Oryzias latipes: one gene and its partners. The main gene of each other region encodes a partner of the protein of the gene in region 2 in a complex. Links are inferred from orthologs where the notes say so. Each region holds a gene or a part of one and is shown on either strand. Other genes may lie near its edges.

Region 1 (3,750 bases), on a different chromosome or scaffold from region 2:
ACTGTACATTTCTTTTTCCTACCATGTTTTACCCCCATTAACATTAAAATAAATGTTAACATGCAGTACATTTTGTGAAACATTTAAGAGCTTATCATCATTTAATATTTAAAGACATACTCTGACCGTAAAATGCTTTTATGTATTTTGCGCACATGCGTTGACACATCAGGTAGCGAGAGTAGAGCTCTTCAAAATAAACTGACTTGATCTCTCAACTTCTGTGTCGTCCATGTATTGTAAACGACAAATACAGTCAATGCTTTCATGTAGAAGACGCATGAGGCAAATAAACATTAGCTCCTCCCACATGCGTCACAATTATGAACCTATTTTTGGACAGGTAGCCAGCAGCGAATCCGACATTTGTTCCAGTTGAAGCGGCCAACGCAAATTTGTGAGCGCAGCATTAGAGGTCCAACACTGAACCTCCAGAGGAGGCCATGTTTCTATTAATCATGTACCCATCTCAGGAAAATAAGAAAACGGTCGCTGCACTGCAGACGATTGCCGACAGACGGCAGCCGTCTGTGTTCCTGCTGAAGGTGGACCAGCTTCTTACCCTTCCATAACCGCACGCAGCCATCGTCCCCAGAGGAAGCCAGCAGGGTGCTTGTGATGTTCCAGCTCACACGCCACACCTGGGAGTTGTGATTGTCGAACTGCGCAACAATCTGCACCTCAAACTTGCTGGGTCCGGTGGATGAGCTCTCCTTCCTGTTCCAGAGAACCAAGACACATTTTCTGTTCATTTTCTTCCTCCTTTTATTTCAAAAGCTGTGTGCTTCGAGAAATGCACCAGAACACATGATGATGACAATCACCTCATGGGGGCAAGCTTGAATATTCTGACATCTTTTGTTGCAATAGCGAGAACATGGAAAGATCTCCCCAGGTTGGGAGCGAACGCGATGTCGTGGACTGCGTCGGTGACAGTCATCAGAGTCTCCACTTTGCCGTATTTCCTTTAGAAGAAACAGGAAGTGTCAGGAGGCCGCTGCATCTCTGGCCGCTGTGTGCTGAACACGCTCACCGTGTGTTTTCGTTGTACTCATAGATCTGAACCTTCCCACCGCTCGCGATGTTGCTGTCATCACTGCCCACGGCAAACATGGAAGGGTGAGCCCGTGAGCTGGGAGAGAATGATGAGATGAGATGATTCAGCAGAAATCCGCCGCTCCTGCCTTCACTCCGACCTGTCATCAGGCAGTGGCGCAGACGTGCTCTTCGTTTGTGTGTAATGCCATGTGGAAACTTAGAATGACACTCTGTGCCCAGCTTCACAGACACATGGAGCAGAACTGAACCTCCATCAAACTTATGGTCTGGTCAGCTCATCCAGAATATGAAAAAGCTATATAACCTGGAGGGGTTCCATGAAATGCAGCTGCAGCTGAGCTTGCATGAGATCTCGTGTTGCAGCGACCACTGGCTCAGGTTCATCACATCCGGAGCTTCGTAGATCCTCACCACGCCGTCCGCAGAGCAGGTGGTCAGCATCAGACCCATGTGTTTAGGAGCAAACTTCACATCGGTCACTGATGTCCTACTGTCCACAAGTGTGGTCCTCTTAATCTGGAATGGAGAAGCAAGAAACACTCACATGACCTCCACCTGCTGCAGGTTGTCGCTGCAACTGCCCGCTCCCAACCCAGCACTGACCCAGTGGCTCAAGCCTCTCTGCTTGTCGTTGGATTCTCCTACAATCTCCTCCCAAACCGCAGCGGTTCGGTCAAAGGAGCAGGAGGCCAAAACCTGCCCGAACTCTGGATGAGCCCAGGTCACTCTCCACACTGAGCCGCTGTGTGTCTGCAGAGAGAAACCAGGAGGAGGAGGCTCACATCTGTTCAGCACAGAAGGTGGAGTTCGGCGTGAGGATGGAGGCGTTTTACCTTCCAGCTGGCTGTGCAGAGCCACTCTCCACTCTCGCTTTTGTCCCAAACCTCAGAAAAACAAACAGAGCTCTGAATGTGACACATGGCCGCGCGGCAGCCCGGGAACGGTTCATCACAGTCGAGGACCGCGGGCGCGAGCTCAGAGGCTAACGTTAGCTTACCTTCACACTCTGGTCACTGGAGCAAGTCGCCATTCTCCGGCCGTGAAAGTCGTACGACACATCGTGAATTAGATCTTTGTGATCCGCCGCGATACTACGAGCCACAAACATGATCCCGGTAGCAGCGCGCCGCCAGCGATAGCTTCACCAGCGCGTTAGCAGGCCTACCGCAGAAATCATCCAGCTTTGAGACCTGCTTTTTTTGTTTAACTTTATTGTACAAAACGGAAGTACAATACAAAACACAATTTTACAAAATAAACTTCAGGTATGCCAGGGGAGCATTCATATTACATGCATTTTACATAAAAACATTCAGGTTTCTACAACTTTCATATAAACATACAGCTTTCTGATTAAGACTTTTGGAGATGTTACTGATATACATTTCAATTTGTTTGATTAACAAGGGGAAAAAATAGAAGATGAAGGAAATTTACGTTTATGAATATAAAATTTGCCAAAAATAATAATAAGATTAATTATGAGTTTTTTATTAGAGGCCAAGTTTTTATTATGAAAACCAAATATGATATATTCATACTTCAGAGTAAAGTTGGGGTGGATTTGTTTTTCAATAAATTGTAAACTTCTAATCTCAGTAAAATTCCAAAAAAGCGGTTAATTGTTTCTTTGCAATAAGGACAATTAGGATCAATTGTTTTAATGTATCTTATCATGAATTGATTGGTGGGGTAAATTCTGTGAATTATTTTAAGAGAAACTTCTTTCATTTTATTACTTATCATAAGTTTGTGGGTCACACTCCAGGCTTTCCTCCAAATACTTTCAGGAACAAAACGTCTTAAAGGAATTTAGGAACTTGTGAGGAATTTAGGCAGAAGTTGAGGCAGGTCCTGGGTGGTCAGGATGAGCTTCCAGAGGACTGGGAAACTACAGCAGAGATTATCAGGGAAACAGGTAGGAAGGTGCTAGGTGTGTCATCTGGAAAGAGGAAAGACGGTAAAGAGACTTGGTGGTGGAATGAGGAAGTACAGGAATGCGTCCAGAGGAAGAGGTTGGCTAAAAGGAAGTGGGATGTAGAAAGGACTGAGGAAGGTAGACAGGAGTACAAGGAAGCGCAGCGTAGAGTGAAGAGAGAGGTGGCAAAGGCCAAACAGAAATCTTACGATGAGCTATATGACAGGTTAGACACAAAGGAAGGAGAGAAGGACTTGTACAGGCTAGCCAGACAGAGAGACAGAGATGGGAAGGACGTGCAACAGATAAGGGTGATTAAGGACAGAGATGGAAAGGTGCTAACAACCCAAGAGAGTGTACAGAAAAGATGGAAGGAGTATTTTGAGGAGCTGATGAACGAGGAAAATGACAGGGAAAGAAGGGAGGAAGATGTGGTTGTTGTGGAGCAGGAAGTAGCAGAGATTGGAAAGGATGAGGTTAGGAAGGCTCTGAAAAGGATGAAGAGCGGAAAGGCCGTTGGTCCTGATGACGTACCTGTGGAGGTATGGAAGTGCCTAGGAGAGACAGCAGTGGAATTTCTAACAAGGTTGTTCAATAGGATTCTAGAGAGTGAGAAGATGCCTGAGGAATGGAGGAGAAGCGTTCTGGTCCCGATCTTTAAGAACAAGGGTGACATGCAGAACTGCAGCAACTATAGAGGAATAAAGTTGATGAGCCACACAATGAAGCTGTGGGAAAGAGTAGTGGAAGCCAGGCTTAGGAAGAAGGTGGAG
Region 2 (3,750 bases):
GACGTCTGCGGCGCCGCCGGGGGCCCAAACGCTCCTTACCTTGGAGGGAAAGTGGAAGCCGGGGACGTTGACCGGAGTCTCGGGGTGGCGCGGCGTGCTCTGGATGTTCACCTGCAGCAGCGGCTCCTCCCTCAGGTGCTCCGCCCCCTCGTGCTCCAGCTGCAGCTGGTAGGTCAGAGCCAGAACGCGGATGTCGGTGGCGGACAGACTCGGGTAGTCGCCGGTCTTCTTGGAGAACTCGGTCACTGGAGAACGTCAGACGGGAAAGAATCAACAAACCCAGCCAGCTCAGAAAATGTCCCCCAGCTGAGCAGCAGCCCAACAGCTGTCAATCTGCACCACTGACCAACGGAGCGGTCAGTGGGCGTGGTCAGAGAGGACACCAGAGGTCAGAGGTCATCTGCCTCCTTCATGGCAGATGACCTCTGATAAAATTTTTCATCATGGAGGTGAAAAAATTCAAAGCCTCAAAAATTTCACACTCAGCATTAATCTCCATGACAACGGTCGAAAGGGGCGGGGTCAGTGCCATGTTTTGGTGCGCGTGGTGCGTTCAGGTGCGGTCTGTGTAATGGTTACAGCTGAGTAAAGTGCCATGTTTTGGTGCGCGCGTGGTGCGTTCAGGTGTCACCGTGTCTGACGTGCTCCGGATGCGGCTCCCTGAAGTGCAGCTGGTACGGCAGCACAGCCAGGCTCCTCCGGGTCTCTTTGTCCCGGATCTCGTCCACCACATCCCGCAGCGTGTAGATGTTCGCTCCGATCTCCTGGATCACAGATCAGGGCCTCAGATCCGGACACGCCGATGCCCCCCCACCCCCCACACCCACATTCCGGTCTCGCGGCATCTCCCAAATACCTGCACACCCTCTCACCTGTCCGCGGATCACGTGTTCTCACCTGTAGAGGTGCTCTCTTCAGAAACGCACCGGCGTCAGCGACAACATGCTCCACCAGGGTCGGCGCCATCTTGGTAAACGAGCAGCCACATCAACGACCAATCACAGGGCAGACGGCTGTCACGTGCCTCGAGCTTTCAAGCGCACTGGGAAAGTGAGGTTGGCTTCCACGTGACCGGCTTTGATTACCATGGTGATGCCTTCACTGCCTCTTCGGAGAATTCAGTATTTAAAATCACCGAATTGTTTTGCAATTTCAAATATTGTTCAGCTTTGACGAAAAATTTTAAAATGTTTTTTCAAGTTAAACTGTATTTTTATTTAGAAATAAAAATGTTTTGCAGTTGTGGAAATGTGAAGATTTCCACAGATCTAAGCAAAAACAAAAGGAAATTTCAGGAATTTATTTCTGAGATTGTGTATAATTAGAACGTTAACATTATTCTAGATTGAAGTGAGAAAATTAAAAAAGGTTGATCAGGAAAAAGATTCCTCATCAAGTTTATTTATAGAGCAGTTTAACACAATTAAATCTAAATAAAACTCTGTACATTAAAAGCTTAACAAAATAAAGTCAAATTTAATAAATAAATGAATAAAAACATAAAAGCCAAAATGAACGAAAACATAAAGATTAATTGATTTAACCAAAAAATAAACATTTACTGTTTCAGGTTTTTCACGTGTTTATTAATCCATGCACATCTTTTTAGGGGGAATCCTTAAACCTGATATGCTTGTGTTGTTGGTTTTTTCTACATCCGGCTCCTTCGGGTCACGTGACATTTGTTGACAGGGAAGGAAGATGGCGGCGCGCTGGAGCAGCGAGAATGTGGTGGTGGAGTTCCGGGACGCTCAGGTGTCGCTTTGGTCTTTATCTGACGTTTCTTTGTTTTTCTCTGACTTTAGAACAGATTTGCTGACAATTTTGTCACATTTTATCCGTTTGTTAAAGTAGAAATACGTTTGTCACGTGGTCTGGACTGAACGGCAGGCGGTTTCTTTGAAGCCGCTTTTTTGTGTTTAGTAATTATTCTCTCCTCTACTGCTGGGGGGTATTCCAGAAAGCAGGTTATGCTAGCTCCCACGATAAGTTTGAGGCTAAGGAAGTTGATAACCTCAGCTTTTGGTTCCAGAAATGGAGGTATGTTTCAGGGTAGGTCAAGTTACCATGGCAACTCATGCTCTGAACGTAACCTGGTCTGGAGCAGGTTTAGTTGAAGGTTAGTTTGTTTTCAGAGAGGTGAAGCAGCATGGCGTGTCCATTTGAAGAGGATTTAGTGGATGAAGAAGCTCAGATAATACTTTTTCCACCATGAGAGGGTGATAAGACCACAAATGGATGTTGGAAAGATAAACTTTATACTTTGATCTAACTTCATTATTTGCTTCAGTTAAGATAAATCATTTTTTTTGTTAGAAATTTTTTTGTTAAAAATAACACGTAGTTTTCAGACAGTTATTTTCCTTTCGTTCAAATTAATTCAATTAAGTAGGTGTAACTTTGATGCTGCTGTTAGATCGGCACCGCAAGGGATTGTGGGAAATCATTCCCTTTGCCTGTCTGGACGGATTTGGGTTAAAGTGTGGCTTTTTGACCAAATGTTTTAGTTGTATAGCTGTTTTACTGTGTTTCTTCGTGTTTGGCCGAGCCAATTTGTCCTACTATGCTTACGTCTCTGCACCATGAGTGAGAGTGAAGGAGAGGATGATGAGTTTATTTAGCACCCCTACAGCTAAGTACTGTTATGACAGTGACGGGAAATTCTTTAGTGAGTTTTTGCACTCGGTGCATTTTTTTCCGTTTCTTTTTATTGTTATAAAAATGAGCATATCTGCCGGCTCAAACTTAGACATATGAAAGTTCAAGAAATATAAGTAATTAAGATGGAAAAAAGATTAATGGAGTAATGTGACATTTAGTTAGATAAATACGTAAATTTGAGTTGTATAAACAATTATTGAGTTTGAATAAATTTAACTAAATTATCTTTCAGCCGTGTTACTTTTTTGATGGACTTATAATTTCTATCCGCCGTCATTAAAATCTCAGACTCCGTCTCAAGTGTCGCGCTTTCTTTTTTTTTCTCCACGCGTTTCCATGGTGACTCCAGAAATCGGCGATCTATTGAGAATGTCTTTATGTACCGTGCGTTAACCCAGGGTTACCAAGTCGAGCGTAATTACGCCAACTCATATCCGGTCTTTTGGAACCGACATACCCAGAGTAAGCAAGTTCAGGCGGATTTCAGCCAGAGTTCAGGCTTAAAGTCAGGCTAGTTTAAACATGCTTCCTGGAATACCCCCCTGATCCCAGCAGCTGAGCTGTTCTTGATCCAAAACTTTAGTAGGAAAACACGTTTTCCAGACGATATCAGGAATAAACTAGTCAGCAGACGCTGTTCTTAACAAAATGAAGACCAAATTCTGAAAGTATTAGAGTGGATGGATCGATTCTCTGAAGCTTCTGGACGAAGCGGAAAACTGATGAAGTATTTACTACAGCCCATAAATATCCACACAGCTGTAAGATTGTTGTAAAAAGTCGAATATTAGGCTTTAGTTACTGCAGAGGAAACATGGACTATGTGTAAAGATGTGATAGAATGATGTCAGACAGCATTTGGCTGCAGAGATGTGACTGTTTGGGAGGAACTCTTGAAAGAAAGTAATAGAGTAACTCTTGAAAGAAAGTAATAGAGTAACTCTTGAAAGAAAGTAATAGAGTAACTCTTAAAATAAAGTAATAGAGTAACTCTTTAAAGTAAGTAATAGAGTAACTCTTAAAAGAAAGTAATAGAGTAACTCTTAAAAAAGTAATAGAGTAACTCTTAAAAAGTAATAGAGTAACTCT
Region 3 (3,192 bases), on a different chromosome or scaffold from region 2:
GAGGTTCTGGCACAAACGGGCCGAGTTTGACATCCTCAGAGGAAAGCTGGACCCCAGCTCCAAGCCCCTCGCACAGGTGATCCACTATTATGGGATGGAGTCCTCCTTCTCTTCTTAATTACTTTTAAGGGTGTCAAACCACACACTCCATGATGTCGAAGCATTCGGATTCTTTTGCTTTTGGACTTTTAGAACAATTTTTTTCTTGCTTTTGAAGCATTTTTGTTTGTTCTAAAGCTACTTTTGTGTTCCGTATTCTTGCTTTCTTTCATTATCAGCATGTAGTTTAGCGTTTTCAGCATTTTAGAAAACACAAATAAACATGTAGGATGTGAAATTCACATCATTTATCTCTGTTCAGGTTTTCTTCAGCTACTTTTTTATTTCCAAATTCACTTTAACAAGATATCATTTTATTTTAGCAGAAGAATCCACTTTAGCTGTTCTTGAATAAGTTTTATGGCCTTATAAGGATTTTTAGAAATCTTTTCTGCTGGGTTACATTGTTTTGCATGGCATTGACCCTAATCATAGATTTATGTAAGTTTTTGTTTTTAACATTCACCTTTTGAAATAAAATAACTTCATCAGCATAGAAAGACAACATCTCTGTGCTTTTGTCTCTCGTGTTTCTAAGTAAAATTAAAAAAGTAAAAAGTTCAAGCTCCTCTCTTCAGGCATTTATCATTTTCACTAAAACTTCTGTTACTTGAGAGTTTTGCTCTTTTGCAAGTGTTGTCCACGTCGAATCTGCAGGAACGATAATGTTACAAACAGGTTTTGAGCAGTTGTTGTGTCATGCCTAAAACGACGATAAAACTGTTTGTCCAAACATGAAATGTGGTTCTGCAAGGCCTCACAAATTCAAGGACTTCTCCCCAGACTGTGAATACACTTGACTTCTGTTCATTTCTTAAGAAGACCAACATTTGTTCCACTTTTTATGCTTCATTAGCAGTATTTGCTGCTGTAAAAAGACTCATTCCAGAACTGTGTGTTGTGCTTGTTGCAGCTTAATCTGTGTCTTTAAACATGCAGACATCTGGTGAGCTTGTTTGGTTTGGATCTTATCAGCCGACCTTTGTTTGCTCCTGGCAGGTGTTCGTGAGCTGCAACTTCTGCGGGAAGTCCATCTCCTACAGCTGCTCCGCCTTGCCCCATCAAGGCCGGGGCTTCAGCCAGTACGGGGTCAGCGGCTCGCCCACCAAGTCCAAAGTCACCAGCTGCCCCGGGTGCAGGAAACCTCTGCCCCGCTGCGCCCTCTGCCTCATGAACATGGGCACGCCGGTTTCCAACTGTCCAGGTGGGGATGTGAAGCAGAGACGGGTGAAGGTACCAAAACTGTCACAGGACTGTAACCCAACAACGTAGCGTCGAGATCTGCTCGGTTGCTACATATTTTCATTTGACGTTTCCTTTCATAACCTGTAGTTCTTTTCCCTCATAAGTGTGTCCGACATTAGTATTTGTAGAGACATTTTTTGTTAGAATGAGCCGAGCCGAGCAGCCGGACTCGTAGCCATTCTTGCCTGCTGGAGCGAGCTGCCGCACTCAGGAGAACCGTGTCTCCCGGGAGATTTGTATCTCCAAGCAGAGGAGGCGGCTTTTAAATGAATAGTCCTGAGAAACCGTGCAAACAATCATGTGAATTTGTGTTTCCAGTCGGGTCCAGACAAAATAAAGGCTGGTGGTTATTCCAGTATAAGTTCATCCATAGCTAAATGTTGTTAGCACGCATGAACCTAATCCTAACCCTTCTGGCTCCATTCTGCCTATAATAAAGCACTGCCTGCACAGATTGAAAAAACTATAAGCGAAAATGCACTTAGTAATAATCATAACAATAATAAAAGCCTGTTTAGAAGATCATCTCGCTCTATGTCAGTGCTTTGTTTGTTTACGACAGTTGTACCGTAATTTGGCCGGATCAATCACTATCTTACACGTCATCGGACCAACGAACAGCCAATCAAATAGTGTGACATCATCACTTACTGCAGGCTGAACAGTTTTGGTACCTACACCGGCCCGCATCACCATAGCACCTCCTCTGCGTCTCTCTGTCATGCAGCTTTTCTGGAAAAGTCTCCTGATCCACCGTTACTCTGCAAACTAAAGCCTCGTTCTTCTCTTCAGGAGCCGGAAAGTCAGAAGAGAAAGCAGATTTGACGAGGGAGAACAAACTCGCCAAGTTCAACAACTGGTTCACCTGGTGTCACAACTGTCGGCACGGTGGCCACGCCGGCCACATGCTCAGCTGGTTCAGGTAGGAACGCCATGGGATCCAAACGCCGCTCCGCCATCTGCTCACGAAACGGTTGTGTTTGCTGGAGATAATGCTGCCGTCGCCTTGACTCCACGCGTTACACAAAGCTGGTACAACAACTGTAATCCTCATTCTGAGAGATTCACAGTCAGATCTTCCCTTTTCTACAGAAAACAGATGTGAAGCTCTATCCTCGAGTTTCATGGGTTTGTTAAAGTCAACAGGATTCTTCACCTTGTTGGTTGTGTAATGTGCATTAGATTAGATTAGATCAGATTCAATTCTTTATTGCCATCATATAAAACCCACTAAAATCAGCAACGATAATCTCTTTATCACAGGTACAACTCCACCAAGTTTTTCATTTTCATTAATTTTCTGTGACTAAAAATAATCTTTTCTGCCCCTTATTTAAGGTTCCTCTCTGATCATCTTCTGATCTGTTTTCAAAGCATCCCAGTGTCTTTTCATAAAAATTATGCCGTTTTTAGCCAAAATATAAAAACGTTTTCCAGGACATAGTTTCTGCAGAGCGGCAGGAGTTCATCTTGAAATTTGTTTTGAGTTGGGGGGGGGCAGGTCTTGGCTCGGAGAGCTCTCTGATTATGCGCTCTTCCACTAGCTTATAGTCCCTCAAACCCCCCCAAACATCTGGCTACAGCCAATTTAGCCGCCATTTTTTCATGAGACATAAGCTGCCATGCTTTGAACCAGTGATTTGTCTGAGTCGAGGTTTCTATGGAAACCCCTCTTGACACTCTGAGTTTGGTGGAAGGCCACACCCCTACTGCTTAAAAGCAGGCCACACGAAATCTGTCAAACGTTTTGAACGTCGAACGTGGGCGCCAACAAGCTCCGCCTACAGAATACATATTATCAAAAAAAAGATATCCGAGCAATATTGGCTATTTTGACCAAAAGAATTA

The links.
Region 1: the proteins of wdr59 (region 2) and seh1l are in contact, whole or in part, in a cryo-EM structure (PDB 7UHY), measured with the Homo sapiens proteins. The link is inferred for Oryzias latipes from reciprocal best matches to the Homo sapiens genes WDR59 and SEH1L. Residues at the interface, in NP_085058.3 of Homo sapiens: Pro713, Asp714, Glu716, Thr717, Pro718, Arg721, Arg837, Glu840, Gln843, His844, Asn847; in NP_112493.2 of Homo sapiens: Asn308, Tyr309, Met310, Asn312, Lys314.
Region 3: the proteins of wdr59 (region 2) and mios are in contact, whole or in part, in a cryo-EM structure (PDB 7UHY), measured with the Homo sapiens proteins. The link is inferred for Oryzias latipes from reciprocal best matches to the Homo sapiens genes WDR59 and MIOS. Residues at the interface, in NP_085058.3 of Homo sapiens: Tyr871, Arg876, Glu877, Arg879, Ala880, Glu881, Leu883, Lys884, Pro889, Pro890, His893, Lys894, Gly895, Ile896, Glu897, Phe898, Gly899, Val900, Tyr901, Arg906, Glu908, Val909, Arg910, Thr912, Phe922, Gln923, Ala925, Ile926, Cys927, His928; in NP_001357005.1 of Homo sapiens: Asp705, Trp710, His711, Arg713, Ala714, Ile718, Ser721, Lys728, Pro729, Leu730, Ala731, Gln732, Val733, Phe734, Val735, Ser736, Cys737, Asn738, Phe739, Ile744, Lys780, Pro781, Leu782, Pro783, Leu787, Cys788, Leu789, Gly793, Pro795, Gln819.

The regions. Positions count from the first base shown.
Region 1 is NC_019874.2:7,223,981-7,227,730, reverse strand, and holds the start of seh1l (nucleoporin SEH1), read right to left. Parts: upstream 2,282-3,750; 5' UTR 2,168-2,281; coding exon 2,057-2,167; intron 1,944-2,056; coding exon 1,893-1,943; intron 1,810-1,892; coding exon 1,663-1,809; intron 1,576-1,662; coding exon 1,364-1,575; intron 1,133-1,363; coding exon 1,034-1,132; intron 966-1,033; coding exon 825-965; intron 718-824; coding exon 563-717; intron 1-562. UniProt on the Homo sapiens protein: Component of the Nup107-160 subcomplex of the nuclear pore complex (NPC). The Nup107-160 subcomplex is required for the assembly of a functional NPC.
Region 2 is NC_019861.2:37,932,362-37,936,111, reverse strand, and holds the start of wdr59 (GATOR complex protein WDR59), read left to right. Parts: upstream 1-1,587; 5' UTR 1,588-1,701; coding exon 1,702-1,755; intron 1,756-3,750. Other genes in the region: RNA-binding protein NOB1, read right to left, coding at 40-245, 632-764, 898-966. UniProt on the Homo sapiens protein: As a component of the GATOR2 complex, functions as an activator of the amino acid-sensing branch of the mTORC1 signaling pathway. The GATOR2 complex indirectly activates mTORC1 through the inhibition of the GATOR1 subcomplex.
Region 3 is NC_019874.2:30,589,617-30,592,808, forward strand, and holds part of mios (GATOR complex protein MIOS), read left to right. Parts: coding exon 1-76; intron 77-1,098; coding exon 1,099-1,303; intron 1,304-2,136; coding exon 2,137-2,266; intron 2,267-3,192. UniProt on the Homo sapiens protein: As a component of the GATOR2 complex, functions as an activator of the amino acid-sensing branch of the mTORC1 signaling pathway. The GATOR2 complex indirectly activates mTORC1 through the inhibition of the GATOR1 subcomplex.